Linked DNA regions of Kluyveromyces lactis. The protein of the gene in region 2 interacts with the protein of the main gene of each other region in a pairwise test. Links are inferred from orthologs where the notes say so. Each region holds a gene or a part of one and is shown on either strand. Other genes may lie near its edges.

Evidence for each region.
Region 1: the proteins of SPT5 (region 2) and SPT6 interact in binary tests that used the Saccharomyces cerevisiae proteins (3 or more experiments, as listed by UniProt). The link is inferred for Kluyveromyces lactis from reciprocal best matches to the Saccharomyces cerevisiae genes SPT5 and SPT6.

What each region holds. Positions count from the first base shown.
Region 1 is NC_006038.1:992,594-995,012, forward strand, and holds the end of SPT6 (chromatin-remodeling histone chaperone SPT6), read right to left. Parts: coding exon 825-2,419; downstream 1-824. UniProt on the Saccharomyces cerevisiae protein: Histone H3-H4 chaperone that plays a role in maintenance of chromatin structure during RNA polymerase II transcription elongation thereby repressing transcription initiation from cryptic promoters.
Region 2 is NC_006038.1:68,443-72,970, forward strand, and holds the start of SPT5 (transcription elongation factor SPT5), read right to left. Parts: upstream 2,911-4,528; coding exon 1-2,910. Other genes in the region: RAD33 (Rad33p), read left to right, coding at 3,228-3,758; ERV25 (Erv25p), read right to left, coding at 4,086-4,528. UniProt on the Saccharomyces cerevisiae protein: The SPT4-SPT5 complex mediates both activation and inhibition of transcription elongation, and plays a role in pre-mRNA processing.

The DNA.
Region 1 (2,419 bases), about 920 kb from region 2:
TGTAAAAAAGGAGAATACGTGTATCTCTTGTGGTGATCTATTGAAAGTAGTTGGAAAATAGAGCTTTGGATTATTCACGACCAGTTTATTTTTCAGAGGGTTTTGATTCTGGAATTAAGAGTTTCCTGATAATTTGAAAGTTCAATTGGAGTTAACCTTAATTCTGGAAATGCTGTGAACTTTGGAAACGCACCTGTGTTAATAAAGAAGATGAACTCTTTTTGTTGTTTTATAAACGATATAAATATATATATACATCGCAACACCAATTCAATCGATGAACAGGATTGTTTCTCCGAGCGACTTTGTATTCAACCCGTTGTTAGTGGTCATTGTGCATGATTCAGATCTATTTCTCAATATCAATCACTGTGTAAGCATTTGCACTGCGTTTATTTCTGAGTAAAAGTAATTTTTCACTTTCTAATGACCAGATGACTCAACTTTAAGTTTAGTCATTTTTTTTTCCCTTTCCCAATAAATGTCTCGAACGAAAAAAAACGGACTCCAGGAATTAATACTAAGTGCAGACAGCGATAACATACACGTTCCTGTTGCTTGTCTTGGTGAAAACTCTGAGGATTTCATTTGATTGTAATTGCCAGGATGAATGGAGCTAGGATTTCTCAAGATATTTGGGTAAAGTTCAGATCTGTTTCTAAGAAAGTGCATAGTAAACTATAGCTATAACCTTCATGAAGTCATTCGAGATCTTTTCGATTACTATTATACACATACAACTTGCATTATTATTTTATATATTGTCTTATTAACACATTCGATGGAGGGAGAACAGAAAAAAATGCAACTGTTGTTACCGCTGCTCAATATCCATAGTAGCCTCCCGAGTTGTTGTTGTTGTTGTCTTGGGTCTTGTTTCTGCTACTGGATTTGAGAAGAGTTTTGAAACCATTGCAGAGTTGAATCACAGTTGGATAGTTGTAATTAACCAAGAAAAACCCAGTATGTGTAAGTTTAACATTCCATACGTATAGTTGGGACTGGGCATTGATTTTAAACATTAGGTAGAACCATCCAGGGTGTTCGTAATTGAAACTGAAATAATAAACGGATCTGTTGGGGTTCACCTTCGAATAGTCTTCGATGAACTTGATGACTTCTTTCTTGGTTCCCTTTTTGAACTTTTCGTTAGAAGTAATTTCGTTTAGCAACCTCACTTTATTCTGCAAATATTCAACGATGATTTGATCTAGATCATGATATTTTTGATCCTCCACTATTAGAGTCTTACCTAACGCCAATGGATTTTCCTTGTCCTTTTCCAGGATATCAACGTGTTGGAACAAATCTTTGTCCAACTTCCATGTAATGGCAAGGTGATCATCACCACGAGAAGATTGTCTGATAACGAAATCACCACGTTCTCTACTTCTGAGATAATCTTCTGCTTGAGGACCGGTGAAATTACCATAGTATGGATGGTTAATAACACGGTGAGTTCTCTTAGCTCTAGCTTCCTCTAAAGCAAGCTTCTTCTCAATTTCTTGATCTTTCATTTCTTGTTCGACGTTCCAAATGCTTGGATCCTTGCTGTAATGGATAGGAACGTATTGGCGTCTAATGTCGTGTTCTAACAATGATACTTCACAACTTATGTTATCATAGTCGATATAAATAACCTTAGCTGGGTAGGTTTTTCCAATTTCATAAACTTCTTCAGCAGGTCTTTTCAACTGAGCACCTATGTGACGTTGTGCATTGATAACACACTCGACACCAGAATTTGTGACACCATATATGTCATTATGTCTGAATCTTTCCACTCTAACTGGAATGATACATCCCTTGAAGAAGGTTTTTTCAGATTCACCTGTCAAACTCTTGAAGACTTCGTCACCGTGTAGTGGGTGGAAATCATTTCTTAGTTCTTCAAATCCTTCCAAAAGTTCCAAGACAATAGTATTCAAATTGTTCAACTTTCTTTGACCTGTATTCTTTTCAAGTTCTTCTGCGTACGCTTCGAGGTTCAAAGACTCAAGTTTGGTTCTGCGGTCTGGATCTTCCCTCAATAATTCGATAAATTCGCTCATAGTACCTTGTTCTTCCTTTTCTGCAATAGCATCAGGATCAAATTCCAAGGCGTCAGCAGCAACCTTGGTAGCCAAATGGTAATCTTCTGGGTGAATTCTAGTGCCATCTAGTTGATCATGTTCCAAATCTTCGTAACGTTGGTTCTTTTCGTTCCAGGATATATACAAAAATGCAGCAGAATTCATGAAAATGGTTTTCGTTAGAATATCATGAGTAATCAATTGTTGGCGTGCTAATAATGGCTCATTTAATCTTTGCAATGATTCAAGGAAATCAGCAGACTTACGTCTTCCAAAGCCAGCAATATAACGTAATGCTTTGGCGTAGTAATGGTTGTCTGTAGCCTTGTTTACTTCAATACCAACTA
Region 2 (4,528 bases):
GGCAGAGACACCTCCCTGGTTACCACCCCAGGTAGAAGTACCTCCATAGCTTGATTTATTGCCACCGCCCCAGGCAGAAGCTGCTCCTGATTCTCCGCTTGCTGCCCAAGAAGAGGCGCCTCCATAACTAGATTTATTACCCCAAGTGGACGCACCACCCCAAGTTGATGTAGCACCTTGCCCACCCCAGGTGGAAGTGTTTCCAGCAGCTCCACCCCAGGCAGAAGCACCACCAGGGCCTTGTCCGCCCCATGTCGAAGCACCACCCCAGGATGAAGTTCCTCCGTTCTGGCCAACCGCAGGAGTTTTACCGCCATCAAATGCATTCCAACCAGGAGTCATTCCACCAGGAAGTTGTTGCGGAGTGTTCGTTGCCACCGCACCACCGGCAGCCATGTGTCTTGGTGCACTGACATAGCTTGGGCCCAATCTGGTATGTGGAGTTCTACCACGTCTACTAACAAGTTCATCGTATGTTATACCTTCACCACCTTCATGACTGAAGTAAGTAAGTTTTCTTTTGTCTATTGTAATATGCTTATTTTTGGAGTGCAATTCAATAGTAGCCTTATCTCCATTGACGTCTTTGACAATACCCAACTGCCCCTTGTATCCCGCAGAACGTATCCTAACAGTTTTGTTCAAAGCGACGTCACGGCCAACTAACCGCGTCTGCTGAGTAGTTTGTGGTGGTCCCATCTTAGACGCAATATTTGGATTTATTTTAGATAAATCCAATGCTGACGACATCAAGTTTTCTTTTGAGGCGACAGCCTCGACATTCATTGGATTAACAACGAAAACACCGGCATTTTCCGTTATTGTTTTCGATCTAATGAAAATATGTTGGTTTTGAACGTAGAGTACTTGTCCCTCTCTACGGGAACCGATCTTTTCTCTTACTACATCGCCAATTTTTATTTCTCTACCATTACCATCGACAGCAGCTACTTTCGCTCTTGCTACATTGATCTTGGCAAGAATTGAGCCTTTAGTAACAGTAGCCACTTTACCGGAGTCGTCAATAATCTTGAAAATATCATGTCCAGCCTGGATCACACATGCCACGTTTTTGGCACTTAACTCAACAATGTCATGTAGAGCGTACTCGCTTGATGTCGGAGTAGAATCCATAGATTTACTCAAGTTATTCGCAGAGATTGTCAAATTTTCTCTAGTTTGGTCAGAAACAAATGTGACTTGACCGTTCTGCACCAAAAGAACCAAACCAGCGTTACCTTCATGTTCACCAGCTATTACTGTGACATGGTCACCAAGTTCGAAAATTTTTCTTAGAGATGCAATTGGGAACTCTAATGATTTATCTGAAAAGCCCGATAGTTTAACGCTGATGACGTCTTTAGAACTTCTAGTCACCACACCTCTAGATCCACGTTGTTCCCCGGTCAACACTTCAACACGGTCACCTGGTTGAAACATAGCTTTAGAAGCTTGAGCTTTTTTCATAGTTTGAGCAATAGCTGCTAGATCGACATCACCTTCTTTACTGCCGAACCTTGATAATTCTTCCACCGTAGGTTGGATATTCTTTGTATCAAGATACTGAATCTTAAAAGATTTGAAAAGATAACCGTCAACATAATCTTCCTTCCTGTAAGTGAAGTGCCTGTCATCTCTTTTGAATAAGTTGGCTTGGTCTAACCTTAATGCCATAGTAGGGTTAAATAATTGAGGAGGAGGCCTACTAGCAAACGTTGCTCTCTTTGCCTTTCTCTGATTTGTATCTGGGTCGATTTCGTCATTTTTACCGTAGTCTAATCTGGGTACAATCTTTAATAGAGCTTCTAAGTTGTTCTGACTAATTTGATCAATGACTGCCAAATCATTCTTATAAATACCCCTTTTAATTCTAACATAAGAACCAACATCAAGTCTCACTTCATCTGACTTGGTAGGCTTTAATAGTAAAGGTAGTTCTTGCACGGGAATCAAAAGCTTTTGATTAGAATAGACATCTGGAACACCGTTGACAAATTTTTCGATAACAGATTGTTTTGGAGCTTCGATATAGATTCTTCCTGTGTAATTGTCTCTTTGGAAGATGGACAGAATCTTTAATTTTTTAGAGCCCATAGATTTATCCAAGTTAAACTTCTTATTTAGCAACTTTCTCACTAGTTCTTTCTCCTTCCCTGGTCTACAACGAACGGACCAAATAATAGCAGTATCAACACTTGGTAACATAAACCTCTGAGGTACATACCCACCTTGAGTTTGTACACGGTAATCTTTGGAAGAGTCACGACCATAACGTTTCTTGAAGTCTTCAGCGATCTTGTGCATGTCTTCATCCGCAGTTTTTTGAAGATTTTGATCTAATTCTCTATGCAGTCTGTCATCAACTCTACCACCACGATCCTCTTCGTCTTCTTCGTCACCGCGAGTAATGAAACCTTCACGAACTAGTTCTGAATCTTCTTCATCTTCTTCGTCGTCTTCGTCTTCACTGACTTCGGCTTCAATATCCAAGAATCTGTTTCTTTCACGACGTTGCTTCTTCCTATATGATTCGACATCTTCATCTTCGTCATCGTCATCGTCATTGTCATCGTCGTCATTGTCATCTTCATCATCTTCATCGTCTTTGTTTTCTTGACTGTTTTCTTGATTGTTCCCTTGATTTCCCCTAATTGGACTATCTTCAGTAGCCTCTGTCTTTGGTTTAGAATCAGTAGGAGCGTCCTTTAACTGATCGACAGATGCAGAGTTGTTTTCAGAACTCCCATCAACTTCATCGATAGTTCTTTTCTTGCCTCCAACCACATCTGTAGAATCAGACGAAGATGAAGTAGAGTTATGCTCCTTATCTTGACTCTCAACTGACCCAGAAACTGTTTCAGGTACAGAAACAGCCTCTGCTTTATCGGATTCCTCAGCAGTACCGCTCATGACGTCTTACTGACTGTTGCTTTGTATCGTGAATGCGAACTGTAATGCATACTGATCATCATTACAACTTAGCGTGGACTACCATTTTTGTATTGAAAATTGGGAAGTTTAGATTGAAATTTTTCAAGGATCACAAATAGAGGGTAACTCTCGCCTAAGTATTTCAAAAGTACTTAAGTAGCCGATGAATCAGTCTGCATCACTTCATAACGAACGGGCAGCTAGTACCTTATGTAGTCTTTAATATATAACATCAGCTCTGGCTACGTTAAGGACAATATTAACCGATGAGTCATTGCTGACCAGATAATGTAGTTATGCGGAAAAAGAATGATGTCAGTTATGACACAATTACCAGATGGAATGAGGCCAGAATGCCCACCGAGATTGAAGATGAAGTCCTATCGATATATTTAAGCTTCACCGAAGAAGGTGAATTCAAGTGGGCTGATATTTCTAGTTTTTATACGGAATTACAAATCAGTAAATCATGGTACGGATTATTAGAATTCAAGGACTTATGCTTGGATGGAATTGACGTCATAGATTTCGAAAAACTCTTGGATGTCACTTATCGACTCTTGATCTTCATGGACAACGAGAGTATAATAGATAAACAATGGGAACTACTATTAAAATATACCGGTAGATTGCAACAGTTCCCTAAGGTTGCACTAAGGAAGCACGTGATAAGTGTTAAAGATGTCCAGAAGGCTGCTGTTCAAGTGGATATGGATCAACATATTATCCTGTCAATGGTAAGTTGGGCTACGAACGGCGAGAGGGTATTTGTCACTTACCTAGACTTTGCCAAATTACTTGGTAAAATGGGTTTATTAAGATACTAGCATCATTGCAATCCACTAAATAATTCACTTCCTAAAAAACACGTCAATCTTTGGAACATTTGGAAGAATATCACTAGTAACTTAGTACAAAACTTATAAATGTAACTGGTGGCCATATCAACATAGAATTCTAGCAAAAACAAAGACCTACCCGTCTAGGCATAATATAATCCCTTTCCCCCTCTACTCGTCCGATTTAGAAATTATGCCATTTTCCATATATAGATACTGTACACGTATAAAAGGCTCACCATATGATGTATGTTTCTTCAATTCAATATTTGAAGATCGTATTGAGATTCAAGGCATTGAAACTATTCGAACATTCTAAATAATGTGCTTAGCTCTAAAGAAGTTCTTCATGTAGTTTACTTGCCATGCACCCAAAGCGACCAAAACAACGATGACAGCGATAGAAAAGTTTCTAACTCTTCTGTTGGTGGACTCGTTGGTGTCTCTTAGTCTTTCTTCTCTCCCCTTCAAGTAGTTGAATTCATCAACAATTTCGTCAGTCAATTCTTCAATCCTACGTAGTTCAACTTCCACCGGTTTCAATTTTTCACTGGCTTGAATCTTGTTCCAATCACGAGCCTCGGATCCGGATTCAATATCCAATTCAATGGAACGGCTCAAAGATCTACCGTTAACTTGCGCCACATTCTCGAAACAAACATCAAATGAGGTGGATTGTGGAGCAGTAAATACAACACGTACTTCTCCAGCAATGTCTCTATTCCTACGGTATTCGTTACCGTTACTGTCACGAACGT